Drosophila melanogaster: one gene and its partners. The protein of the gene in region 3 interacts with the protein of the main gene of each other region in a biochemical or structural test. Each region holds a gene or a part of one and is shown on either strand. Other genes may lie near its edges.

Evidence for each region.
Region 1: the proteins of Mis12 (region 3) and Nnf1a form a complex in vitro, tested with the Drosophila melanogaster proteins (2 studies listed by BioGRID).
Region 2: the proteins of Mis12 (region 3) and Nnf1b form a complex in vitro, tested with the Drosophila melanogaster proteins (one study listed by BioGRID).
Region 4: the proteins of Mis12 (region 3) and Kmn1 form a complex in vitro, tested with the Drosophila melanogaster proteins (2 studies listed by BioGRID).

The regions. Positions count from the first base shown.
Region 1 is NT_033778.4:20,581,339-20,589,302, forward strand, and holds Nnf1a (Nnf1a), read right to left. Parts: upstream 5,901-7,964; 5' UTR 5,836-5,900; coding exon 5,735-5,835; intron 5,679-5,734; coding exon 5,466-5,678; intron 5,392-5,465; coding exon 5,277-5,391; intron 5,072-5,276; coding exon 4,916-5,071; 3' UTR 4,884-4,915; downstream 1-4,883. Other genes in the region: qsm (quasimodo), read right to left, coding at 223-295.
Region 2 is NT_033779.5:807,039-814,845, forward strand, and holds Nnf1b (Nnf1b), read left to right. Parts: upstream 1-3,538; 5' UTR 3,539-3,607; coding exon 3,608-3,720; intron 3,721-3,770; coding exon 3,771-3,983; intron 3,984-4,050; coding exon 4,051-4,165; intron 4,166-4,220; coding exon 4,221-4,394; 3' UTR 4,395-4,493; downstream 4,494-7,807. Other genes in the region: Dbp21E2 (DEAD box protein 21E2), read left to right, coding at 4,598-5,458, 5,524-6,273; Saf6 (SAGA factor-like TAF6), read right to left, coding at 6,419-6,855, 6,913-7,146, 7,205-7,807.
Region 3 is NT_037436.4:6,965,662-6,973,760, forward strand, and holds Mis12 (Mis12), read right to left. Parts: upstream 3,388-8,099; 5' UTR 3,274-3,387; coding exon 3,204-3,273; intron 3,141-3,203; coding exon 2,848-3,140; intron 2,736-2,847; coding exon 2,553-2,735; 3' UTR 2,374-2,552; downstream 1-2,373. Other genes in the region: CG10064 (uncharacterized protein), read right to left, coding at 1-310, 374-590, 653-882, 955-1,659, 1,722-2,146; CG9953 (uncharacterized protein), read left to right, coding at 4,171-4,958, 5,020-5,158, 5,221-5,692, 5,765-5,892; CG10063 (uncharacterized protein), read right to left, coding at 5,997-6,568, 6,631-6,697; Galphai (G protein alpha subunit i), read right to left, coding at 7,682-7,872, 7,929-8,099.
Region 4 is NC_004354.4:11,570,192-11,575,070, forward strand, and holds Kmn1 (kinetochore Mis12-Ndc80 network component 1), read right to left. Parts: upstream 2,252-4,879; 5' UTR 2,208-2,251; coding exon 2,000-2,207; intron 1,942-1,999; coding exon 1,598-1,941; 3' UTR 1,192-1,597; downstream 1-1,191. Other genes in the region: CG11699 (uncharacterized protein), read left to right, coding at 519-585, 676-917, 978-1,109; Reepl1 (receptor accessory protein like 1), read left to right, coding at 2,611-3,333; CG11696 (uncharacterized protein), read left to right, coding at 3,667-3,792, 3,862-4,879.

The DNA of each region.
Region 1 (7,964 bases), on a different chromosome or scaffold from region 3:
TGTGTGTATGTGCACTTCACGACCAAAAACGAGGTCACTTTGTCGGTTTTTCAACAAAATCGAAAAGAAAAAATAAATACTTATTGTGTTTCATTACGCGAATGACATCATGGCAGCGCTATGGGAGCTTCTCAAGCTTTTTAGCCTTGCACTCCCCGATCTTAACTCTGATATTTATATTTAAATTTTTGCGTATAGTATATAGATAGAAAAAGTGCTTACCTTTGGCCTGGGCTAATCCGCAGAATAGGGCCGCCAGCCACAGAGAGCGCCACATTTGCATTGAGAGCAGCATTTTCCAAAATTTCCGGATCTAATTGGTCGGGGTAGAAACGGAAAGACAAACGGCATATTATTACAAGCATTTCGAACGAACCGAAGCCGAAGCAACGGCACATGCTCCACAAGCGGGCCAACATTTTATTTGTTATTTGTATTCTTGGCCTGGCCTTTTTGACGTTTTCACAGACACAATTCATATATGTAGGTACCATAACATATATATGTACCGCATCGCAAACACACACAGCGAGTTATTATGAAACAAAGCCAGAAGAGAATGCCCGTCAAGTGGCTTGCGGCGACCGCTCAACAAATCAAAAACCAATGACAACGGCAAATAAAAAACGAAACGAGCCGCGAACCACACACATATCACACAAATTCACACAAAACTCGGAGCGGGTCTTACTTGACGGCTGCAATATGGGGAAAACTCGGAACTCGAGACTCGAAACCACACCGAAGAGCACACCACACGTCCAAGCTGTTCGCTAGTCGCCAGGCAACTGAGGCTCAGCTCGGCTGCAACTTCATTACCTCGGGAATCGAGAGCCGGCGTATAGAGATGCTGACTCAGTTTCAGAGCAGAAGTCGTTCTTATATGGCAGAGAGTGCAAAACTATAGTGAAAGCACTCAATGTTAACCAATTGGTTAATTACCCAAAAGAAATGTAATAAGTACGTATGTATATAAGAAGATAAGTGTGCCGTTTTATCCGAATTATTGCAACATAAATCTATATGCATTTTTATTATATTATGCTTTCATTGGTAAAAAAAAAAATCCTTAGAAAATATTTTAAGAATTTTGAATAAGATAGTGTTGAATAATTATTTAACAAACGGAGTTTTCAAAAGTTAGCTATAAACTAGCTAGTGAACCAACGCTCTTAGGCATTAGAGCGTGGACAGTGGGGAAAAATGCTAAGGCGCCATCTAGCCCCTGGCTGTTCACAGTGCATAAATAAAGCCGGCAATTACGAAAGTGCTACATTACAATTTATGGATATACTTGAATACATTTAGATAAGCAGAGCACAATTAAAATGACCCACTGTAAGTCGCTCTCTCGCACGGAGCATCTCTGTCGCACGGCGAAAAAGAGAGCGACTTTAGCAAGTTAGCTTAACCGAGAGGCTGTAAAATACGGTAAAAGGATCGCTCTCACTACCGCTCTTTTCCGCTCTCTGCCGGAGATAACAATCAGCCGGTAAGTTTGTATAATTTTTTTTTTTGTCCCATGACAAAAACTGAGAAATTGTGGGAGCAAAATCTTACAAGCAATTATGCAATCTCGTCTCCGGCTTTTTTGTTGCGTTTGCTGTTGTTGTTTTTGTTGCACTCGCTATTGTTGTCAAAACAAACATTTATGTAATTGCGCTCGCTGTCAGCACGAACTGCCGGTTCGTTCTCAACGGCCACAGATGAGAACAGGGAAGTAATAGTTTAAAATGAGCTAAATGCAGCAGCTGTTATGGATATTTTCCCTATATATTTCGCTATATGTACTAACGGTACACTTACACTTCCGCCAAAACTAAAACCGTTCTTCAGCTGGTCATCTACTGCATTTTCCAGAGCCCAAGGCGCAGCCCGTGAACCCAATTTCACACCTCTTGATTTCGCGCGTGCTTGGGCATTATTCATGATTCTCCTACTTGTTAGTTTTCCAAACCAATGGCCATCCCATCATTAAACGGATTAGAAACATTTATTTGTGCATACTTACTGGCCATACACTACTGGCCCTCTTGAAAAACGGTAAATGACGTGCAAAATAAAGGCAACCAGCCGAGCGCACTAATTTAATTTGCTAAATTCAACTCAAAATGCCTTATTATTACTTTGTTGCACCAGTTGTACGGGAATATTTAGCTCAAGCATCGGCCAATATTAAGTTAAGCACAAATTGTAATAATTAAACACTTGCCACTTGCAAAAGAAATTAACCAAGTTCCCCGTTCCTCTTTGCACACAATTTGCCGATCTGGCAAGTCTGTGACGAAGCGAAAGAGGAATGGGGAAGAACCGCAACAGCTGTCATCTCGCTCACACCTAACGGATTGCGGATTTCCGAGAAAAGCGCAACTGGATTTTTATAATTTTACGATTTCACAGATTTAAATGTTGAAACATTGGACATTTAAAGGCCGGGAAGTGTGCAATATAGCTAAGATATAAATACACTGACACACGACCCGCCCTGCAAATGTTTATGTTTTCGCAAACACTTTTTTTTCACTTTTCGATGTTAATTCTTGATATTTTCAGGCCGGTGAATGTGCAATATATTCGACAAATGAAATATTAACCCATATACCGTCCGAAAAATGATCTAGAAATTTCGATTTTTCACCGTCTTGCCGCCTATTGCAAGGAGTTTAAAAACACAACAAAACTAATTACTTTGCTCATAAAATGATTCGTTTTAAAGTAATCAGGCCGTCTCAAGTGCAATACTAGTTAAAAAATGCAGAATTGCCCTTGTGACGAACCAAATCGCTTCAAACTTAATTCACATTTCTAATAATTTAAAAATGCTAATTGTTAGTATAAGGCAGTTGCTAACATTTTCGGGCTGTGAAAAGTGCAATACTCAATGTTAAAAAAACAGTACTGCCCCCATCCGCAGCAGAAAATTGTTGGCTAGAACGATGTCGGGTAATACGTTTCAAACGACCACTCGCGACGACTCTCGGAATTTGAATGCCGGGGGCAAAGAACGCAAAGAAGATCCCGAAAAGGAAAAATCACAAAACGGGACACAATGGAATGCAGAGGTTTAGAGCGGGATGACAGTATGAACTTCGAACTCTCAAAACATCCAAAGTTTTTGCTCTACTCTACAACTTTCGGGAGAGAGAATATTCAAAATGGCGGCAACGCGAGGAAATCGAAGGAATTCGCGAGATACACATTTTTTTTTAACACTTAAATATGTATGTACATATTTTAATGAATCGTTAGCTTAGCTCGTGAACTTTTATAATAGCAAACAGAATACCATATTTTTTTGCCCTTCGATTTACTATTTTGAGTTGATGAGTGATGAAATATCACATTTTTGTGTTTTTTTTTTCAATCTGTGCACTTTGGTGTAAGTTTTCTGAAAATAAGTAAGACGGGAATGCCAGTTTTGTAAAAAACACAAAAATAAGCATAACAGCCTTTACTATTTTAAGGAGATTATGGCAAATGTGAAAAAAATATCACATTTTGAATTTGTACACTTCGGTGTTAGTTTTCTAAAAATAGGTAAAAGACGGTTATGCCAATTTTGTAAAACAAACAAAAACAAGCATAAATATCACATTTTGTCTTTTCTAAAAATAATTAAAATTGGGTTTTCTAATTTTTTAAAACACTCAAATATAAGCATAACAGACTTTTTCCTATTTTGAGATTATGGCAAATTTGCTTAAATATCACATATTTGTCTTTTTTTTTTTGATTCCGTACACTTAGGTGTTAGTTTTCTAAAAATATATTAAGTATGTTACACAGATTTTGTAAAACACCTAAAATATGCAAAACGGACCTAAATAATTTTAGAAAAAACCAAGTTGAGTGGCGATTTCTAATGCAAAACCAAAACTTTCCAAACTACAACTTTAATAGGACGTTAAAATATGTATTAATAGGTGTAGTTGGGAAAAGCCTGAAACTGCAGTGATAGTTTTGATATCCTACGCAGGTAACTTTCTCGAAGTACTTAGTACCAGAAACGTGTACTTTACATAAACATAAAAAATAACACTTTGCTGATACCAGGCACTTGGGAAAATCATGTCTAGATTTGTCAACATTTTAAATGGCTTACCAAGAGATGTAAGCTCCTTCTCCGTCGACGGTCAAATCGAAAAGAACGGACTGCTGAATTCCATTGAACTCGAAATCTTTGTGACAGTGCTAGAAGATGACCTTTGAAATCAAGTGGGAATGGGCCGCACTCAAACTCACATATGCAATAAGTGTGTTTCTTTGTGTGTGCGAAAGCGCTCAATTTCAATAATACACACATCACATAACCTCACTTTAAAGAGTCAATGTCCTTATTGCCTTAAAATATAACTGAAAATCTGTATAATGAGTGCAGTCTCACAAGGGAAATTAAAACGAATCTTTTAAAAAACATCTTTAAATGTATATTATTAGTTACTTTTTGAGGAAGATCTAGCAAAAATTCGGTTCTTTTTTACACTAATACCATTCCTTTGATTTATACTACGCAATCAAGTATGTATGTATGGGAGTGTGTAAGCACACAGCGATTCTAAGAAATCACTCAAAAAACACATGCATACATACATAAGTTTACACATGTTTAGCTAAAAACTTCGTACTATTTATCGTATTCTTTATAGAGATAACTTGAAATGTATGTATATACATTCAATTTTAAAAGATTTTTTGTCGCCAATACAAACAATTGCTCGTTAATATTATGAGCTTATTGCAATGATACGAATTTAAATAAATTGTGAATGTCAATGACAAATGCATGTGTACATACATATGTATGTACATTAATGAATATGCAGATTAGTTTGTATGAATTTCCATTTTAAGACCCCCCACTCAAATCATTAAGCTCATAGCGTAGTATTTTATTTATTTATTGCATTTAAGTTTGTCAGAAGTCGTTCAATGCTTCGCCTAGTTTAATAAGTTCTGTCTTAACTTTCTCGTACTGCGACAATTGCTGCTCCATTTGGACAGTCAATTTCAGGCGCTTGTCATGGACATGTTGGAGTCGCTCGCGATTGGCATTGCTCTTGGCCATAGCAATCTGTAATTGAAATATAAACAAATGTTAGTTATACTGATAGAATAACAAACCTAGATATGTACATATGTATATGCAAATGATAAACTATAGAAATGAAATTATTAAACTAAAAATCTTCTCGAAGGTTCTTTAACTTTAGGGATCTTTTGGTACACTCAAAACAGTGCAGTAATAGTACAAAGATTAACTAATATCCAAATCGCACCTCAAGTTCTTTTGCCTGAGAGGCCAGTTGCTGCTCCATGAATTCCACGCTGAAGTCCAAAAATCGCATGCGCAGCGGCCGAGTGAGTTTATCGGGTGCTGCAGTGTTCACGTTCCTATAGATTACAATAGAGTAGAGTAGAGTTAGCAATGCAATCGAATCGTATTATGTTTTATGCTGCACATGTACCATTTCTTGCCCTCGTAGGCAGCGAAATGTTCCTTGAGCATTTCCAAAGTTTGCAACTTATTTGGCACATCGTTGCTGGCGAAAAAGCATCGGTTCATTTCGAGCACAACCTTGGTCATCAGACTGCGAGTGCGATCTACGATGCTTTCGGTGTCCAGAGCGGATTGCTCGTGCTCCTGGTAAATGGCATCCCACGCTTGCAGATCTGCGCAGCTAGATATTAACGATTTTTAATATTCGTTATCATGTTAACTATGCCTGCTGCTTACCTCAAGTCGGCAAAGATTTGTTTAATGGCTTCCTCGTAGGCCTGTTTCACCTTTGGTCCCACACCCTCGTGGCGTTTAAATGCGGCTTCCGAATCCTCCATTGAAATAATTTGTTAGTAAATTCAAATTGTAAACAAAACAAAACAATGCCACATTGGTGTGACCAGTTGCAAGTTTCTGCAAAACACCAGGCCGATAGAAATTATAGAGTATGGTGACAACCCTGTTATTGGTTTTTTTTTGAGGTATTTCCACTAGCTCTTATTACTCATAAGTCCCTTGTAACATAAGTGATGTTGAAAATATAAATATATTTCATTCAGCGGTATGGTGAGAATATGTGCCTTTTACATTACAATGTCAAACAAAATGAATAAATACCACCGAACAGTATTTTTAAGAATAAGTGTTAAACCACCGTTTTCAACCATCATATATCGATAGTCCAGGTATCGATGACAGGGTGATACGCCATTTTCCAATTCCTCTCTAACTTTTGTGCATTTTAACTCAGCTCTAGTGTGTTTGTGCTATACATATTTTGAATAATATTTTACCAGCCAGTGTTTAGTGGCGGACAAAATCGTGTTGAATACCAATTGAAAGTTAAGTGATTAAGTTCGGTGGCATCAAAGTCTTCGTAGCTGAAGGAAAACAAAGGCATCCCGATAGGTGAGTTTTTCTTCTACAGTTTTTTTTTATCTTTTGCCTGGGGAAACGCGAATGAAAAGCGAATTTGCGAGGCAAATAAACCAGGCTAAAAGCAATGTGTGTGTGTGTTGTGTGGTCTTGTGTTTTCCTGAATACATTTCTAAGAAAAAGATTCGCCAATACATGCCGATTTTTTATAGCAATATAGTGTGATTTTTAACTACACCCCCAAAATCGTTCTTTTGGCTTCGGCGCTTGAGTTTTACAGTTTTTCTTCCTTTCATTTTATTACAACCACCAGGGCACACAGAAATATTCCTAGCTCTCTCTCGCTCTGCCGCCCTGTTCTCTCTGCCTCTCTCGCTTGCTCGCACGCATGCCGGCTTTTACTTAAAGTACAGAGTCGCATAGTTGTTGTTTTTATAATTGGCCCATCGCTTTAGTCGCTTGTTTTGTTTTTCACATTTGCTGTTTTTTCTTTTCTTTTCGTTTCGTTGCTTCCCTTTTTCTTTTATCTCCACGCGGTTACACCGGTGCATAAATTTCATTATAATTCGCTGAGATAAAATCAAAACAAAATAGTTTCGTTGTTCCGAAAGCAAAACTCCCACGCTACAAGACGAGTTCAACGCTCGTTGGCTTTTTACAAATAAGGAAAAGGCCTAACCTATATTTTATTCATAGTTTTTAGCATCAATCGATGAGGTACGTAGAAAACGGAGAGGCAGAGGAAATGGCGAAGAGAGGCTAATGAGAGAGAAAAATACAAATGGAAGCTAACTGTTGTTGTTTCGCTTGTTGGTTGGGTGCAGCTTATTACCACCTACTTGCCTCCCCCCTCTCTTCATTGCTCCTCTTCTTTTCTCTTTGCCCCCCTCCCCCTCATTAACCCATTGGCATTTGCAGCTTTTTAACAACAGCTCTCTTCTTCTTCCGTCTGCAAATCTTCTCAGCAATTCTGCAACTTTTGCTTTTCGTTCTTTGGCGATTGTGACGAATCTCCTTTGTCTCTGTTTAGATTTCCAGTTTTGCGAAAAAATTCGCTTTTATTTGCCTTTTTTGGCCGAGGTATTTTTCGTTTGTTTCTAGCGTTTATTTCGAGTGAAGCAATTCCAAAGATATTTCGCGGCTATTTGCACGCGTTCGTTGACATTGAACTGAATTCTCACGTAAATGTGTTGAGTTCCAAATTGGTCAGCAAACAAATTGTAAATAGTATTGCTTAAAAATTTAAATATATATTATATTAACAAATCAATAGGCATGACTTGTTGAAAATCTCAGTTGTTTGCTCAATTCTTTTTACAAAATTTCTATGACACCAAATTTGACTTGTAAGATATTTCAGAGACACACCTAAATAGTTCGTTTTGTTTATTCTCTTGGTATTTGTTGCTCCATGGAACTAAAGAGTCAGTCACCTATACTATTCTACCCGCAGATTTCTGGCACTTTCAAATTAACAAGTTAACATATTAAAATCATGTTCATATTGTTTGTTAGTTTTAACACACAGTAAAAAAAAGAATAAATTATAAGAATAATATATGCAATAATTATAGTTAAATACCATGTTTAA
Region 2 (7,807 bases), on a different chromosome or scaffold from region 3:
CCGCACCTTAAATGGATACGTATTGTATCTTATTGATTGAACAAGTTCCAATACCCAGCTGGCCTATGAAGATAGATCTTGCTATTGATCATAAGTGCAGTATGCCACGCAACAAGCTACCCATTTTTCTCTCAGTGCAGGCAGGGTGAGTTGAGAGCCAGATGTCGTTGCTTGCCACTCACTTGTCGCCTGTCATCCGTCAGTCCCGAGTCCTGAGTCCTGAGACCTGAGACCTCCATGTCGTCGGTCGCTGGAAGTCGTGTGCCAAATGACCAATTTCAATTAGAGATGCGGAGCCAGAACATCGGAGCTTACAAGAAAGCACGCAGCACCCACACGCAAAATTCAAGTGTCCTTGGAAAGCTACACGGAGAACTACTTGCACTCCCATCAACTCGCCAATAATAATAAATAAGCAGATAATACTGTTCATAAACACATCTGCAGATAGAGTTGAAAGCCATTTGTTTGAATTGAAAGTTTGGCTAAGAAGTAATTGCTGCAACTTTATGTGGCAAACCTTCGATTTTTTTTCGCAGTGCAACCACACACTCAGCAATCTGCTGGCTGTTTAAATATGAGCAACAGATTAAAACTTAATTTAAAGTTGACCCAGCCGGGTTTCGTGTTTCCACTTCAAGTTTAATTAATATGTTAAGCCCGTAAAAGCCGCTTCGGTAAACTAACCCCACCAGCCGGTTGTTGCTCCGGTGTTTGTTTTTTGTTCGGCCCATTCCCGAAAAGGAAATCAACCCCCCCCCCTCTCCCACCGAGAGCTTAGGCAAACAAAAGGTTTGCGAATCGCATTCCATGGAAGATGAGGCGTCTCCAACGATATGAAGGACTTACATGTGTAGCTGGAACTCGGTTTGCATACCAATTGTCTGACGCTACTTTCGACCATTGTACTTGCGTTTCATTAGTGTTAATCCGCAAAATCGGTAGGACTACGGCTGCCATATCCAGATATGTGCAGATACATATACACAGCCTTGTATATGGCGGCAGCTGTGGTTTCATGCATTGTTCTAATGCGTGCTTAAAGCGCATTTCCAGCACGCATGAGTGCCCACAGTTGCGGTCACATGAATAGTGGTCGGCTCCTAACCATCGATTTGCGCGACAGCTTGTTAGTTCAGAAACTATTAAAAGTCGCTTAACTCAGGCAAATTCTGCACAATTGATCTACATATGTGTGTCAAGCACACGTAGGCGACCTCCACTGTGGATTTGCATGCGAATGCAGCTCCCAAATTCACGAACAAAGCACAAAGCACCACTCGACAAATGCGCTGTAATTCGAGGCGACAAGTATGCAGCGAAAATTTTAAATGCATTTCACGCACTGCGGCTGACGCACCGCTCCCCCAGCCCCACACCCCCTCCCACCACTGGTATTTTCCCAGTGGTTCTCCATTCCTGTCACGCCCGCAAGTGTCGCCAAGCGACGGCTGCCGCTGCCAGCCAGGACCCACTGTTGCACACAGGACGAACAGATCAGAGCCAAGCCAACATATCCGCTTCTCATCGATATTTAAATAGCGCATAATCAAGGTGATGATAACACTATCAGCAAATGGTTATAACACACTGATGTTCTTAAACTAAGAAAACAACAATGTACGTTTAGAAGCCTAAAAGGATAAGTGTTTCTTTCAGTGCAGATGGCGTTGACTTGATTGGAATTTGACCAGAATTTCGCCCACTGGCAAAATGGAGCATCAATTAGAGCCAAGTGATTTATCCAATTTGTAGCAGGAGAAACCCTTGACAGGACGACACGAGACTTTCTGATTAGTAAAATAAAACTCGAATAACTTTTTAGCAATCTGACGTCAAAGGATCAGACACGAACGCTCGGAATTGAATATCCAAAAGTTTCTTCTTTCCTCGAGATACAGCTGAACTTTGCTCAAGAACTGATTGCTTTATGTTATATGGAAACTCAGAGGAATAACTTTCTCAAAGGGTTTCTAGGTAAGTGATATGAGTTTATTAAGAAGAAGTATTTTTTCAGAACTTAACATTTTCACTAATTAAAGAGAAGACTTTCGGGGAAAGCATATTCTCTCTTTTGAGCAGGACAAGCGCAAACAGTGTGAGAAATGCATAGTTATTTGGATTGGTATAATTCAGAATTCAGAATTCAGAAAAGTATGCAAAACTTTGTCTCAGAATTTAGGCTCATTTGCATACCAGTCGCACCACAAAAAGTCAACATCTCCAAGTTTTTCACACCATGTGCACGAGAATAAGAATATTAAAATCGCATCTTGCTTGAGGTGTTCGCTTTATAAAGCCATTACCAACTATCCGAAGGACGAAGGCGGGTGGATCCTGGGCGGTGGTTCCTGAACAGTCCGCATGTGTCGGCCGGCATTTTAACACTTTAATCATTGAAATGCAAATTCGGAGCCGAGTTTTAGCAAGACATGCGGCAGAGTGGCACATGCATGTTAACACGGCCACCGACTGGCACGCCTCCTGATTCTGCTTCTGTTCCTGGAGGGGACAGCTCAGGATTCTGGCCGGGATTTAGCATATCTGAGATCCGGGCCACACAAAGAGAAAATGTGTATCGAAACGGAGAAGATGCTAGTGGGTTTTTCAAATCTCACTTAATGGTGCCTGAAAGTATGCACCAAGTTTTGAAAAACATGTATGTCCCATGGGTAACAATGTTTTCCGGGTAACAATTTCGAACTTTCCACCTTTTCATTTTTGTGGCATTTATGGGTCGTTATAAGATTGATGTCGAAATGATTTTTCCTGTGCAGGGGAGAGCACATTTCGAATTCTGCCTACTCCACAGCTGAGTTCCTTTTCGGACCCGGAAAATAATGGAAATGCCGGACCCGGCGAGCGAATAAATTAACCTGGATCGCATTTATATTCGAAAGTAGTGGCTCGGTGATGCTTAAACCTGAGTTTGCCGCAGAATGCTTCCTTTATTGCACGTAAATAAAGTCATAAAGTCATCATTACAACCGCGCCAACGAGGAGCACACGATAAGGAGCACAAAGGACAAACTTTTGTGACTGCGATAAAAATTCGCAAATGCGCACAAATTACTCAAAACATATTAAAAACTGCGTCCCCGCCTCAACAATTTGCCCAAAACGTTGCACAAATTAAAAACCCTCTCGAAAGAGCGGAGATAAAAGGAAATTCCATTGTGGCAAGTTTTCCCGATGTGGCAAACTGCAGTGAAAGCACAACTTTCGGGGAAACTGAAAAGTGCAGTTATTGAGTGTTAGTTGCAAGTTCCTTCGCCGATGCGACATGTGAAAAGTTGTGTAATTCAGTTCGAGAAATACACTCTGAATGTGGCGTAAAAAATGAGTTCAATGTTATATTGAGTGTTTTCGAAGTAATGCCAACTTACCAGATTTGATGCTTGAATTTAACCAATTAGCCAATAACCGTTGTTTAAAATAATTTATACAATATATATGTTATCATAATTGAAAGCAGCTCGAATACCCTATACCTACAATCATGTCATATAGGGGTTGGTATTCACAACCTATCTGTAAATGGTCACATATGTTTTCGGTCGCCAAGTTTTGCTTGTAATTATTATTTTGCCAGAATTGTGTTAAAAGTATGAATAATATTGAAGAGGACACCGAAGCAGCCTTCAAACGGCTCCAGGCTGTCATTCCACAGGTGAAGCAGGCCTACGAGGAAGCCATTGGACAGATCTTCTCGGATTTAAAGTAGGAGAATGGCTGATTAAAAGATTGACCAAACGCTTACTATTGCTTAGCTCCTCAGATCTTGAGTCGTGTGCCTCCATCCTCGAGGAGCACGAATCCACGAGCCTGGACACCGAGCAAATAATCCACAGCACCCGTCGGCTTATGACCAAGATCGTCCTGGATGTGAACCAGTGCTTCTTCTCCGGCAACGACGTGGAGACCAAGCTGACCACGCTGGAAATGCTTAAGGAGCAGTTTGCCGCCCACGAGGGCAAGAACTGGTTAGTGAATGGTTTTGAATTTGGTTGTCCAGCAGCACTTTCCATGGTTTTTAACGTAAATCCGCAGGAACTTCAACTGTCTGTCCCCTGAGGAACTTACTCGCCCTCTGCGCATGCACAACTTGAATCTAAGCATCACATTCATGGAGCAACAGCTTAAGAAACAGGAAAAGGAACTCGAGGTATGTATTTCAACCTCCGAAGAATTAAGTAATACTTGGATTACTTCGATTTTAGATTGCTATGGCCAAAAGCATTAAAAATCGACAGCTTATACATGATGTCCACGCTGAACGGGTGAAAGTGGGATGTATGATGAAGCAGCAGTTGGCCGAGTACCAGGCCATTAAGCCACAGTTAATGGAAATGGAACGGCTAATAAATGATTCGTATGTGCAGGAAGAAATGTAATTTTATAAAAAAAAACAGATTATTATTATTATTATTATTATTATTATTATTATTATATTAGTTGCTGGGTCTTGAAATAAATATGAATTTCAAACTTACCGCCACAAGTGGCATTGAATTCGAGCGGCGCTTTCCAACACTTCGATGCGTGTGCACAGCTGACTTGCCGGCAAATGAAAAACATTGAATAATATTCCGAAAGCATGCTGAACTTGTCCGTGGTGCTCCGGGTGCAATCATCGCGCCATGTGGCTTCATATGCCACAGCGGCGGCGGCGGCAGTTAAGACGAAGCCACCAAAGGCAAAGTCCAAGGGCAAAAAGCAGAAGGGGGAGCCCCTAATCTCCTGCAGAAGAAGCCAGTTCGATTTAACCCAATACGAGCAGACGGATGCCAAGTTTGGGAGTCTTTCGCTGGCCTCCAAGGGCTGGCTGCACAACAAATCCAAGGGAGACTTCTTCATCCTGAACGCCAGCGTGCGAGGTGAGGAACTCCAGCAGGAAATGCAGACCGTCGATGAGTTCCTCGAGAGCACGGGGATGCAGATTCATCCGCAACTCCTTGAGAACTTGCGAGTCGAGCTGGGCATCAAATTACTGACGGGAATCCAAAAACAGGGAATGCCCGTTGTCCATGGAAATGAGCACTGCCTCATTGCCGCTGAAACTGGGTGTGGAAAAACAATTACATATCTCCTGCCTATCGTAGACAAACTCCTCCAGAAAGAAGTGGTCACCGAACGAAAACTCAACACCCCCCGTGTCTTGATCCTCACTCCCGGCAGAGAACTAGCCACGCAGATTGCTGGGGTCACGGAGAAGCTCACCCAGGGCACCAATCTCAAAGTGCAATCTTTACTTGGCGGCAATACCAAGCAGCTTATGATGAACCCACAGTTCGAGGAGGTGGACATACTGGTCGCCACTCTGGGTGCACTTAGCAAACTGGTGACCACTGGCATCTACCGCATGGAGCAGGTTCGTCATCTGGTTCTAGACGAAGCGGACACCCTCCTAGATGATACGTTCACAGACAAACTTTCCTACTTCCTCAGGAGATTTCCCGTAAGTCATTCTAGGCGATTACCAAAGGAATGGCTTCAATCAGCTTGTTTTTTCTTATTCGACAGTTCCACTTGGTGCAAAAGGAGGATGCTGGCACCCAGATGATCCTGGCCTCGGCCACCATGCCCACGAACACCAGAGAGATCCTTCACAAAGTCATAGACGTGGACACCATCCGTGAGGTCGTCAGTCCGCACCTGCACCGACTGATGTCTCATGTGACGCAGAAGTTCCTGCGGCTGTCGAAGGCCGATCGGCCCGCCACACTTCTGTCACTCGTGAAGCATGATCTTGCCAAACGTCGCCCTCTTATCGTGTTCAGCAACAAGTCCACCACCAGTGACTTCGTTTCCATCTTCCTGAACAACAGCGGAGTGAACTGCTTAAATCTGAATGGGGATATGCTGATGAAGATCCGTCTTGGCCGCTTCGAGCAGTTCCAAAACGGTCACTGCGACGTCCTTTCCACCACCGATGTGGGAAGTCGTGGCCTGGATACCACACGAGCTCGACATGTGGTCAACTTTGACTTTCCGCTCCACGTCTCCGATTATATCCATCGTTGTGGCAGGATCGGTCGGGTGGGCAACATGGACAAGGCGCTAGTCACGAACCTGATATCATCGCGCCGCGAAATCGACGTCGTCCAGCGAATTGAGCACGCAGCTCGAACAGGTGGACTTCTGCCGGATGTGAATGCCAACATCCGAAACATTATCAACAAGCGGATTGTGGCGGAGATGAAAGCTGCAGGAATGCCCGTGCCCGCTTTGGGCTCACTAAATGGACATACGCCTCAGGAAGAAGCCTTTTAGTTCTGTGTTTTTATGTATTACGAGTAAAGTTGTATCACCTTTCGGAAGACCGAAGAGGAAGTCTAAAGTAAACGAAGAGTTTTATTGAGATCCCCAGGTCCTCCTGGACCTCCAGAAGGTCTTATAATACTTTCCCAAGTCCCTTTCAGATCCTTAGGTAGTGATAGCCACTGATGGGCGACCACTTTCTCACGTTGGTCAGGGGCTTAAAGAGTTTTCGTTTGGCGATCAGGATGTCGGAGCTGGCACCGCCACCCCCACCACCGTTCGCTGCCGACGAAGGCGAGTCTTCGGAGTGGGGAACAGTCGCAACCTTCGGCTTCAGCAGCACCGGGCGGCATCCTGCAAACTTAAAGCGGATGTTGCCCGCGCAGTTGAGCTGAAGATTTGGTGACTGAAGGTCGGGGAAAGCCTCGCAGAGCGTAGGCTTCGGTTTGAGTGCCTTGCTAGGATCGTCTCCGTGGCACATGGCTGCCGCAAGAGTACTCCATTCCAACCGACGCACTCCCGGCACTGATTCTATTCTGTAAGCGGGTTGTTTGGCCTTCACATACCGTCTGGTTACCATCTTTTCGTAGGCTCCTGCAATGATTTTTAGTTACTTAACCGCTTTTCATGGAACACATGGGTGTTTCTTACGCGCATAGTGGACCAAGAAGGGCTGCAGAGCAGCACCGCATCCGTACTCCAGCCATTCATACAGGTATACGTCATCATGACCGCCAAGGAAGATGGCAGCCGGAGCCAGATCCGGCCACAGGCTATCCGGGATTTCCTCGACGCGCAGTTTGTAGATGTAGGGAATAAACTCACGAAAGGCATATTCTCCCAGGGCAATGAGACCGCGCACTGCTCTACTGATATACCTAAAGTCTTAATTAAGAAATCCAAAGATAAGGATCCAGGCTAACAAATTGTAAGGATGATTTACCTCTCTCACTGCTGACGTGGCGACCTTCGAAGAATCTCGCTAGGCGTCTCTTGATCAAAAACAGGCACTCTGCATGTAGGTAACCACTTTGAGATGCCAGCTGTCCTATAGTTTCACACAGCTCGTCCACCAGGCCATTGCCGACTGGACAGGCAAAGTAGCTGGATAGGTGTTCCGCCTCCGGCTGAGGATTCAATTCCTCCTCCTCCGATTGCAGCTTGTAGATTGTGTGTTCCATGGTGCTCTCACCCGGAAACATCTGGGGTTCTTGCTCCTGTTTCTCTACTCCCATGACCTCCGGATTTTCCTGGGTTTCCGGATTATGGCACTGGTCTGGCTCAACCTTTAGTTCTTCTTCAAACTCCATTTTGATGGAGGTGGTTTGTCCCGGATCTGGGTCGACGTGTGGAGCTTTGATAGTTTCGTAAGGTGCCATTAGCTGGCTGACCAGTACCTCGGCCAGGTTGAAGTACTCCGGCCGGCAGGCATTGTGATTAGCAGTGGCGTTGTAGTTGCATGCTCGGAGCAGTCGCCAGCATCGCTGGCTCAAATGGTCCTGCTGCTTAAAGGCTAGCAACTGGACCATCTTACTCACAATCACTC
Region 3 (8,099 bases):
CGCACAACTGATCACGGAGGAGGCGTGCTCCGATCCGATGCCCACCACAGCACCACTGTTGTAGTCCCACAGCTTCACCTGCAGATCGCTGCCCACGGTGATGAAGTAGTCACCCGTTTCGTTGATGGCCAAGCAGTTGACCGACGATTTCTTGGACGCAGTTAGTTCCCTGATCAACGCTCCATTGTACACCATCCAGTAGATGATTCTGCCGTCCGAGCCGCAGGTGATCACTTGCACTCCAGTTGGGAAGTAGGATGCGGACATGAACTGCGTATTAGCGGTCACCACTTGTTTGCGGGTCATGCGTCTGGTGGGGATTACTTGGTGAATGAGGAATACATGCTATACTTTGCCACTGAGATTAACTCACTTAATGTCCCAGATTACACAAGAGCCATCGGTGCAGGCGGAGATCACTTCGGTGTCGAGATAGTTGATATCCAGCGAGGTTATGGGCCCCGAGTGATCCTTCAGCACGCCGACGAGATCCTGGCGATACGGATCGATCTTCCACACCCTCACCTGTCCCTCGATGCCGCCAGTGACGATCAAGCGACCCGACGAGGCCACGGCCAATGCACTGCAACCTGTGTTGAACGAGAGGATTTCAGTAAGAAGGCTTAGAAGGATTGGTATTCCCAAAGTTCACCTTTGTTGTGCGCGTTGGGTATGGCGTAGATGAGTCTACCGGTGATGGGAGTGAAGGCGCGAATGATGCCATCGTTCCAAACGGAGACTATGCTAGTGCCATCGTGGGTAAAGCGCACGCAGGCGCAGTTGAAGTTGTAAACCATGATGCGGAGCAGCTCCTGCTTGCGACCAGACGACCAGATGCGGATGCACTCCTTGCCCGACGTGGCAAAGACACCAGAGTAGTTCCTTAAATACATATATATGATCAATTGTAGCAAATAGATTGCAAGTAGAAGGGTTAGTTCCATCCAAACTCACTTGGGAAACGTGATGCAGTAGACCGATTTGGTGTGGCACGTTCGCAGCAGCTTGAGCACCCAAGTCTTGATATTCAGCCCATAGATCTCGTTGGTGTCCGTGCAGATGTAAAACATGTCCGTTTTCGAGCGCACAAAGGACGAGATTCTGCCCGAAACGTGCGTCTTTTTCAGGGTGCGCAAATATGGCCATGTGGGTCCGGGATAATCGCGAAAGTTAATGAGCGGCACATCGGTACGCTCCTCCACCAGCTCTATATCACCATTTCCCGCTCCAATCAGCAGACGTCCGCCTTCCAGGACATACAGTGCACGCACACCATTCACATAACGATTGCAGTCCCTGCCCGTTGGCTTCCTGGGATTGTGGGTGCCGAAGGCTCCGAGGATGCAGCTGGTTGAGCCTTGTTTGCTCACATGATCACGATCGCAGCAGTTGAGCACGATCTTTACAATGTCCCCAGTTCCGGTGCCCAGATAGGCAAACTCATCCGTCTTATTGATGCGCGCACAGTAGAAAACCCGTGTCTTGCTGGCCATTAGGACATCCTGTACGTACAGCTTCTTCTCCTCACGCAGGATGCTCCACAGACGCAGATGGCGATCGCCGGCGGTCACAAAGAAGTAGGGATTGTTGTGCAACGGCCGGACAGTCAAGGCATTTCCAGAGATGGCCCTCGATGCGGGTGTTTGGCAAATGGGAGAGCTGTAATGGCAAACGAAGTCATTGAAGGAGTTCAAGCATGAGCTCTGATATGAACAACTTACAATGCCTCCATGTCGAAGACAATTACGGAACCATCATCCACGCCACCGATGGACACAACGCATCTATCCTGGGCAGTAAAGCAGATGGCCTGCACAGATACCTTGTGCAGATCGTGGCGAGCGATCTCCTTGCGCTGATCGTAATTCCAGATGATCACATAGCCGCGGAAGCCCATGTGATTGATCTGACCGGAGGCCATGTATTTGCCACTCTTGCTGAGATCCAGGCACGATATGGTGTTCGTGTGTCCGGCCACAAACTCCTGCGTATTCTTCTTGTAGTCGGCGATGCCGATTTTGTTGCCCAGCGCAAAGATGATGGATCCCGTGACCGGATGCTGGCGCACTCCATTCTCCACCTTGCCATTGATGCCGAAGATTGCGCGCGGCAGCAGCTGCCTGCAGACATCGTGCGAGTCTCCCATTTTTCCAGGCTTATAGCAAAATATACGATTCGAAATGTAACATATAAGGGGGTTTTTGTGTCTGTTCTGTGCTTGAAACTTTTTAACCGGCTTGTTTTCTGTTTGAAAACAAGGCAGTTGGAAAATTTAAACAGCGACCGTTGCTTGGTTGCCGCTGTTGTCAAAGGAACTAATATAATGCTAAGGTAAATTGGTTTAAAACTAGTAAGTAATCATCTAGGTGTTTCGGATTCATAATAATTTTAATTTAATTTAATTTTAAGTTTAAAACTAAGTTAACGACATAATAATAGGTAAAGTGGAATATAGAAGAGTCTTAGTGATTATAAATGACTCCAGGGTTAAAACTAGTTTCGAAAGAAGATATTGGAAATGTAGATTAAAAAACTTGATCCAGTTAGTTTATTTAATCAGTCTCCTTCTTTATCTGCAGGGGCACTTGATTCCAGAATTGCTTCAGCTTGGTGATGTTGAGGGAGGAGCAGCTTCGCTGCACGCGATCCTGCATTTCGATCTCCTTCTGGATGAGATCCTCCATGGCGGCGTACTTCTCCTCCTCGATCTTCAAATGCGCCAGCATGGCCATGTTCTGAAATTGATGTGATTTAGCATTATTAAAACATAAAATAAAGCATCCTTTTCCCCATTATAATGATTAAAATGAGGCATACAAGATAGTTTCCATTGGTTCTACAAGTTACCTCTCTGTATTTGGCCTTCAGCTCCTCCAACCTGGCTGTCTTCTGCTCCTCCTCTTCGCTGGTATACTGATTCTCGACGAACATGTGCTCCGGATGCAGCACATGCGGTGGAACGTGGAACACTTTGCTGTCCAGTTCCCTGAGGGCTTTTAGGCCCTTGGAGGCGGATGCCTGGAAACGACGCTCAACGGTCTCCTTCTCGGCTTCCAGCAATTCCGCTGTGGCGGGTGTCTTGATCTTGTCGATGATCTGACCAATACCCTTCTTAATTATGTCCTGCACAATATGTTCGCCTATTTAAAAGGAATTAATGGATAAAGGACGCTGATCCAGAGATATAAGGATGTAGCACTCACGCTCTGCAGACAACTGTGCCGCTGTGAAATTGAAGAACTTCTGATCGTAGGCTAGGCTATTGAAGTCCATTATGACAGTTAACAACAATATTTTTTTTAAATTATATTACAATTAAACTGGATAAAAACGTAAACAATCCAAATTGTCGCGCAATTAGTGTTACCGTTTTCAGAATACAAAGAGATGCTACCACAGCAACAGTGCTGCCATACTTAGCTACAAAATCTAGTTACTAAATTTGGCTACTTATAACTGACTATACAGATGAAAAATATAAAAACAACGCATACACATGCACAATTTCCTAAAATTTTTGACAAATACATTTATTAAGCTTTCGCATTAACGGCACAGTGAAACTCCACAATAATATTTACCTAATATATGGAATAATTCAAATAAACTATATGTTGTTTATTAAAGCTACCTAAAGCATTTGAAATTCAGGAAACTTCCATTAAATTAGTTCAGTGAGAATTTAAAATTACACGCAGATGGAAATTATCAAAGCATGCAAGAATGTATACTTTTCTTAATTACTTGACAAAAATTTTGCAAAACACGTTCACATTTACGGTGCTATTAAGCTCATCGATAATATCTAGCTAGGAAATAATATAAATAAATAAAAAGCTAAATTAAGTTTTGTAAAGTTACCAGAACACTTACAGCATACAGAAATCTTTCTCTGCTTAAAATTAAATTAATTCAATTAATGATTGAAATCAATAACTATGAATGCCCCTACTGTTTTAGTTTTGCTTTGCCGGCTTTGCGAATATAGATAATACAGCGAGAACTGAATAATCAGGAGAGTGCGACACACATAACGGTGCCTATATAAATAGAACACACCACTCTCCTTCAGTCGCTATTTACAGTTAGGCACTGTGCGAGGTTCCAACTAATTAAATACTTCAATTACTGGCAAATTCTACTTGACCCGAACAAACAAAGGAAGCAAATATGCTTTTCATTGGGGGCGTTTTGAGGCCCTTGGGAGTGGGTCTTCTGCTCCTGGGACTGCTTGCGCCCATTTCCGGAATGGGATTTCGACGCGGAAGGCTGACCAAGGGATTCCTCGGGGAGCCCAGCAAGATTCCAACCCTGCAAAGGAGCCTGCACTCGGAGGATCTGTGGTTCGAGCAGCGATTGGATCACTTCAAGTCGAGCGATAAGCGCACCTGGCAGCAGCGATACTTTGTGAATGCCGACTTCTATCGGAATGACAGCTCCGCACCCGTATTCCTGATGATCGGTGGCGAGGGCGAGGCGTCGGCCAAGTGGATGCGCGAAGGAGCCTGGGTGCACTATGCCGAGCACTTTGGAGCGCTGTGTCTGCAGTTGGAGCATCGTTTCTATGGCAAGAGCCATCCCACCGCTGATCTGTCCACCGAAAATCTGCACTATCTCAGCTCGGAGCAGGCTCTGGAGGACTTGGCCAGCTTTGTAACCGCCATGAAGGTTAAGTTCAATCTGGGCGATGGCCAGAAATGGATCGCTTTCGGTGGCTCCTATCCGGGATCGCTGGCCGCCTGGGCACGCGAGAAGTATCCCGAGCTCATCTACGGTTCAATTAGCTCCAGTGGTCCTCTGCTGGCTGAGGTTGACTTCAAGGAGTATTTCGAGGTGGTCAAAGCCTCTCTAGCTGCCTACAAGCCCGAATGCGTGGACGCCGTGACCCGCAGCTTTGCGCAAGTGGAGATTCTACTCAAGCACATGATTGGACAACGCAGCCTGGACGAGAAGTTCAAGTGAGTGGATTAGGCTATCGTCCTGCACAAATTTTAATTTTGTAAACCATTTTATACTCAGAACATGCACTCCCATCAAGGACTCCATTGAAAACGACCTGGACATGGCCAATTTCTTTGAGAATCTGGCTGGCAACTTTGCTGGAGTGGTGCAATACAACAAGGACAACAGTCCCCATGCCACCATCACCATTGACGACGTGTGTTTCATCCTCACTTTGATCCCTATCAAGTCCATACTAAGAATGTTTGAACTCCATAGATCTGCGATGTCATGCTAAACACCACGGCTGGTCCACCTGTGACCCGTTTGGGCCTGGTCAACGATATGCTATTGAAGGAATCGAACACCACCTGCCTGGACTACAAGTACGACAAGATGGTGGCGGACATGAAGAACGTTTCCTGGGACTCGGAGACGGCCAAGGGAATGCGCCAGTGGACATATCAGACCTGCCACGAATTCGGCTTCTATCAGACCTCGGATAACCCGGCTGACACATTTGGTGATCGCTTCGGTGTCGACTTCTTTATACGCCAGTGCATGGATGTGTTCTCCAAGAATATGAACGCCAAGTTCCTCAAACTGGTGGTGTCCGCCACAAATGATAACTATGGCGCCCTAAAGCCAAAGACCACAAATGTGTTGTACGTGCACGGTTCCATTGATCCCTGGCATGCTTTGGGCTTGGTCAAGTCCACGAACGCAGCACTTCCTACCATTTACATAGAAGGTATGTGCTTACCAACACATTTTTCACATATAACTTGGGTAATGTAAGCATTTATTGTGTTTTTTTTTTTAGGAACCGCTCACTGCGCCAATATGTATGAGCCGGTGAAAACCGATCCGCCACAACTGGTGGCCGCTCGCAACAAGATACTCAAATTCTTGGCCAAACTACTGGATGGCTACACCTCGGCGTTAATCTGATGGAAAAGTGGCCAAGTCAAGTGTAATTTTGTACTCGTCAGCGAGTTGTTTTATTTTTTGCTTTCGCATGAGTTTTATAATATATTTTTCGGCTCCGCTGGGAGTTAATCCTTCTTGGCCTGCTCCATTTTTTCGTGGAATCGCTTCCAGTAGTGCTGCACCTTGGCATTTTGAACGATATTGTGCTCGACAAAGTTGAGCAACCAGGTGGCGGTTAGGTAGGTCAAGTCATAGAAGAAGGCAACCACGCGAAAGAAATACTTTTCGGTCTGCTCCTTGCTAGGCAAGTTGGCCATGACATCCTGCAACTGCTTGGCGGCCGCCTCCTTGGCCTCCGATGCCTTCTTCTGCGCCTCGGTCATCTTGTCCTCGTTCGAAGTGCCCTTGCTGCGCACGATGGTGCTGGCCTCCAGTGGCTCAGCTCTGCCCAGTTTACCGCCTGCGTTCACTACGGAAATAGTTGGCGCCTGCACCTCGCCAATGGGCACATCCTTACGCGTGGTGTTCTCTGGGTTATTGCCCAAGGTGGATGGAAACCCTGGAGCCGCAAATCCAGGCGGCACGTTCTTGGGCTTCTCATCGCCGCCACCTTCGGCGGAGAACTTGCGGTCGAGATTCAGGAACAGAGCACGCGGGCGCACAGTATTGCCATTGAGGCGATTCAATGTGGAGTAGTCTTTATGGTGGGAAAAGGCGTTAAAGTTTGCTAAGAAAAAAACACGTGCCTGCTTCACTTACTCCACGCTGTGACCAGTGGTCCCGCCACCGACTTACTCCATTTGGTCATTACCATGGCGCGAATCATTTTCCAAGTTTAAGCAGATTAAAAATTCTTCACTGAAGCAATTGACAATTTCAACAAACGAATTAATCCAAAATGCCTGACAAAAAGCAGAATGCGGCAAGGCCAACTTGACAATCATCAGCCAGAGTTGCAACTCTTTCCGAAGAAAATCCCATTTTTTTTGGGAAAGAACGCTAAGTTCAAAAAAGCTAAACCTAAAACAAAATTACTGTTTCTAATATATTTATGAAAATAGGCACAAGCTATAGCTCTAAATTGGAATATACACTAAACTAACTGAGCAATGATCAACATAATTTAAGGATCCTAATATTTATTTTACTAAGTTGTCAGCTCTGTAAGCGCACATGAAATAATAAGCAGCATTGGCAGCATTCAAGTACGAATGGTTATTTTGTATAAATTGTCTTTTATTTAGGCTATTACTAAACATATTAGTAAGTTTACTAGTTACATTTTAGGGCTTACAACTCCAGGCCTTAGGTTCACCTTAAATAACGCTGTCAAGCTCTTGGCAAAGAATAAACGTCCGGAAAATGGCTTGCGCCCAAGGAGACACCTCTGGGGATTTCTGGATGTGGTGCTCCCCTTGGTCACCGCCATTAGCCCGCGAAACTTAACTAAATTCCAAAGGGAGCCGATCGGGTTGAGGTTTTAGGATGTACAAAACCCACCGGCTGTCCTTTGTCGAACTTTACATTTGTGTGGTTAGGCTAATGTTTAAATTAGTTAGCTTATGGGTGCAATTTAATGGACACGGTTAACTAAATTGCAGCTGGTTAGGTTATTTGTTCCGCGACTACTGGCAACCAAATCGGTTATTAAAATTACGTGTGTCAAGCATGTAACGCATTTAAAACATATATGGATCGTACGAGCGTAAATGTATCGAGTTCTTAGCGTTTAATGGAAATGTTTATGCGCGTTTTCCTTTAATACTACGACGCCAGCTAAATAATGATGATCTTGTGCTCCGCCGCCCTCTCAGAATAAGCCAATTTGTTTCAGATTGTTCTTGATGATCACATCGGTGACGGCATCGAAGACGAACTTCACGTTGTTCGTATCCGTGGCGCAGGTGAGATGCGTGTATATCTCCTTTTGGTCTTTTCGCTTGTTCAGGTTTTCGAACTTCATGCGAATGTAGTTGGCCGCCTCCTCGAAGGTGTTGGTTCCTAAAAGTATATCAAGTTAAACAAAAATGTAATCGTTTTCTACACTCTTATCTTACCTGTGTACTCTGGGAAGCATATCGTCAGCGGAGATCTCTTGATCTTCTCCTCAAACAGATCCTTCTTGTTGAGGAACAGTATTATGGATGTTTCCACAAACCACTTGGAGTTGCAGATGGAATCGAACAGCTTCAGGGACTCAATCATACGATTCATCTCTTCGTCCTCGG
Region 4 (4,879 bases), on a different chromosome or scaffold from region 3:
TGTTGCTGGCACGCTGGGCGTGCATTCTATACCAGTCGGGCCCTACAGGCGATTGCGAATGCGAATTAGCCCGTTTTTTCAGACGCGATGCGATGTGAAAATGCGGACAACGCCGACCGAAAAGTGTGACTGCAGGGCGAGCGGCGAAATACCATACCATATTGCGGTCGTTGTAGCAGGGTTGCCAGACTGACGTTTTTTAGCTATATCTTTTATATAAATATATCTATTAGTATTAGTTAGTAATTTAACAAATAAATTAAATGCAGCACATTAAAATCAAATTGACTCTCATAGTCAGTGAGAAAGGCCAGTACCTGTTGAATATTTTGAACTATCTTTTAGCACTTCACTTCTAGCTTCCCTCCCGCCATCTTAGCACCTCTGCGAACGCGTCAGTGGCAGTGGCAGCTGCGGCACCAGTGTTGGTTGTCAAGAGCGGTCAAGCAATCAGCTGTGTTGTGCGATCCAATTCGGGCATTAGTAGTTACGACAACAATAAATCGCAATTGAGAAGGATGAGCGAGGCCGGCACCAGCGCGGATGCAGTGGCCGCCGAGAAGGAGCGCAAGTTCCGCATCCAGGGTAGGTGGTTCTCCAAACACATACAGACACACGCATATATATCAGCCAGCAACTGACTGAAGTACAACTCCATTTCATCCTCCTTTCTAGCCGCCGCCTTTCTGGGTTTGGTGGGCGGGGTGTCCGCTCTGTTCGGCTTCTCGCGCACGCTGGCCACCGCCAAGAAGACGGATAGCAAGGTCCTCCAGCAGGCTGGAACGCGGCAAGGCATGATCCTGATGGACGAGGGCGCCACCCTGGCCCTGCGGGCGCTGGGCTGGGGCACACTGTACGCCGTGATGGGCACCGGCGCCTTCTGCTACGGCTTCTGGAAGCTATCCGGAGCCAAGGATGTGAGCATGCCTCCGATTTGTTCAATGAATTTCGCTTTAAATCTTTCGTTTCGTTCGCAGTTCCAGGAGTTCCGCCTCAAGATGGGCAATGCACTGCCAAGAATCACCAAGGACGAACCACCAGCCAGCCGCACCGATTTCGAGAGTCTCACGGACCTCATGAAATACCTGGCAGCCTGGAACAAGGAATAAGCAGCTCACAAATATACACACAATTTAAAGTAGACCTAACGCCTGAGTAGACCAGAACATAAAACGAAACCTTTGTTAACTTCAGTTTACATACAGACAATGTTTTCAAGACGTTTGATCGGTTTTCATTTCTTTCGGTCAGACTTAAAGGCAGCCATCATCAGAAGTGCAACTTAGGGAGTTACATATTAGGGTAGAAATAAATACAGTATAATTCGCTTAGCTGCATCGATAGTTAGCTGCATCGGCAAGATATCTGCATTATTTTTCCATTTTTTTGTGTGAATAGAAAATAGAAAATAGAAAAAAAAAAATTAAGTTAGCTGCATTTTTAAGTTACCTGCATCGAGGCATTGTGCAAAGTACTCGAGGCAGCTAAGCGAATTATACTGTATAAGCCAAAAGCAAACCGTCTTACAATCTCTGAGTCTTAATTTAATTTATCAATATCTACAATTCACATATGTATATTTATGCATAGCTTAGGGTCACCGTTGGTTGGCCATATTCTGGTGTATAGCGTTGTTGATCATGGTGTTCCGCATGAATAGGTAGTGATCGTCCATATTGCACTGCAGCTCCATCATGTCCTCGTGCTCCGCCTGAAATCGGATGGCCGCGTTTGTGAAAGCCAACGAGCTTCGCACGAAGTTTTGCAAATTGGGTCCCTGATCTAGGTAACGCTGCTGCTCCTTGTTTGGCTTGAAGCTAACCTTGCGATTGTCCGTGTCCAGTGCCGCATGCATTACAAAGTCGAAGAACTTTTGCTGCTCCTTCTGGGCGCGCTCCTTGTACTGCTGCACCTCGTCCTCCTGACAGCTAGGATCCCAGACTGAAAGTCTGTACGTTAAGTAAATGGCAATTTAATTAACCACAAGGATTGCACTTACTATCGTCCAGGTCAATGTTAAACAAAGTGCTTGCTTCATAGCGACGCGGTTTCAAAGTGGCCTCCAGTTGGGCCGGCACGTCCTTGAGATCGATGTCGGAGAGATCACCGCTCGATAGATCGACGGCACTCGTGTTGCCCACGTATTCCAGTACGTCACTGCGGCGTACGAATTTCATTAATTTTTCTGGACTTTCGGCTGGCTCCATCGCGTCGCTTCGTTTGTTTTCAGTTTTTAAATCCGTAAACGCTTGCCAACACCCATCGCTGATCCAGTGATGCCACATCTTTTGAACGTAATTCGCTCTGGCTCTTTTCAAGCCAAAACCTTTTATACAAATTAAAATATACGATATAAAAAATTGCACTTTTAATATTAATAAAAAGATATATACTCATTGAAAAAAAGCTGAACTAAAAAAGGGGAAAAGGGTTATAGGGCATAAGTCATTTTATGAATGCTAAGCAGGCCTTGCGTTTAGAATCACATTTCAATTTATTGTATTTGTTCAAGTAGTCAAACCAAATGAACAAAATCGAGAACCGAATACACAGCTATATATATACTTTCTCAAAATCCAAAATTTTAAGATTATCCAAAATTTCCAAATAATGATTTATGCGATCGTGATACACATACTGTCCCTTCTGGTGGGCTGTTTCTATCCAGCATTCGCGTCCTACAAGATCCTGAAAAGTCAGAATTGTAGCGTCAATGATCTTCGCGGATGGTTAATCTACTGGATTGCCTATGGAGTTTATGTGGCCTTTGATTATTTCACAGCGGGTCTGCTGGCATTTATTCCATTGCTAAGTGAGTTCAAGGTGCTTCTCCTGTTCTGGATGTTGCCCTCTGTGGGCGGCGGCAGTGAGGTGATCTACGAGGAGTTCCTGCGATCCTTTAGCTGTAACGAATCCTTCGACCAGGTCCTGGGACGTATCACCTTGGAATGGGGCGAATTGGTGTGGCAACAAGTTTGCTCCGTTCTTAGCCATTTGATGGTTTTGGCAGATCGCTATCTCCTGCCCAGCGGTCATCGTCCTGCCCTCCAAATAACGCCCAGCATCGAGGATCTGGTCAACGATGCCATAGCCAAAAGGCAGTTGGAAGAGAAGCGGAAACAGATGGGTAACTTATCTGATACCATCAACGAGGTTTTGGGAGAAAATATCGATTTAAATATGGATCTGCTGCACGGATCCGAATCTGATTTATTGGTTATTAAGGAGCCTATTTCCAAGCCCAAGGAGAGACCAATACCGCCGCCGAAGCCAATGCGTCAGCCATCATCAAGCAACCAGCAAGAAATGAATCTTTCGTCGCAGTTTATGTGACATCAATTGATATCCTCAATATGTCAGGCGGAAGTTGTCAAAGTTCAGAGCTTTCAAAAAGCATACATCTCAGAAATAAACTAACCTTACCGCAATAAAGTTTATACAAAAAAAGCATTTAAATTGATTAATTTTAGTCACAAAATATTGAACCAATGTGTTGGTTATCTTCTTAGCTATTTTTTCTAGCCTATTTTCTTGTGTTTGCACAATCAGTCGCGGAGGTCTCTTTTCGCGGTCCGGTAACGCTCACATAACAAAACTCAGCAACGAATCAAAAACAGCTGCATTTAACGCGATTCGACTCGGGATTTGTGTCCTTCCTTTTATGAGATGATATGCCGACTCTGCCTGGAGGATGCTGAGCACGGGGTGCCCATTTTCGGCCAGGAACCGCCAATGGGACAACCGGCACATCGCCAGCTGGCCGAGCTGATCGAGCGACATCTGCTGCTGGTGGTGAGTGGATTTGGACTTTTCTACCCCAAAAAGATGTTTTTTTCTAATGATTGAATTGTTCGCTTTCAGTTGGCGGAAAACGACGTGGTGTCCACGTGCCTGTGCAACCGCTGCTGGCGGCAGCTGGCCGAGATCGAGCAATTCTGTTCCATGGTAGCGGAGAAGCAGCGGTCGCTGCACCGCTCCTTGCAGCTGAAAACTGAATTGCCGGAGCTGCCCGAACTGACGGAGCCGGAGCCCGCCCTGGTCGTGTGGAACACGGAGTCGCCAATCGAGCCAAAGCTCAGCTATGAGGGCGATGACATCAAGGATCACATACTGTGCGAACCCGTCATCGACGCCTTGTCCGCGGGCGATGAAAAAGACAGTGACTATGGCGACACCTTTGAACCGGACTTCGAGCCGGAATCGCAGCCAGATGAAGAAGAAGAACCGGAGCCGGATCCGGTAAAACCGCGCCCCAGGGGCAGGCCGCGCAAAACTGCGCTGCAGCAAACGCATCAAATCATCAAAAGGAAGTACGAGAAGCGCAAACAGCAGAACAAGGCCAAGATCACAGAGTTATCATTACGGGAATCAAGAGCCCGGCAAAGGGAACTTAAACGCAGCAGTGCTGGAGCAGAGGATGATCAGGATGGCGACGAAGACGAGGAGGACGAAGAAGATGTCGGGGGCGAGCTAACACCAGATGCCGACGAACAGCCAAAGCCGCGCGGCAAACGTGGCCGACCCAAGACCAAGAAACTGGTAACCGCCGACGATAATGATGATACCTCGGAGGTGCCCGTCAAGCGCAGCAGCATCAAGGAAATGGACGACTATATAGCCGCCAATGTTAAGCTCGACTGCGCCATTTGCGCCGCCCCGCTGGAAGACTTCAACGATCTCAAGCGCCACTTTCGCGTGGAGCACGACTGCACTGGCTATGTGAAGTGCTGCAACAATCGGTACAAGAAGCGGACACTGTACGTCGACCATTTGCACTGCCACAAGGATCCGCAGTACTTTAGCTGCCAGAGCTGCCGCAAGAACTTCCTTAACCGCAACAGCCAGGTGATGCACATGCTGCGCTTCCACTCGCAGCAGC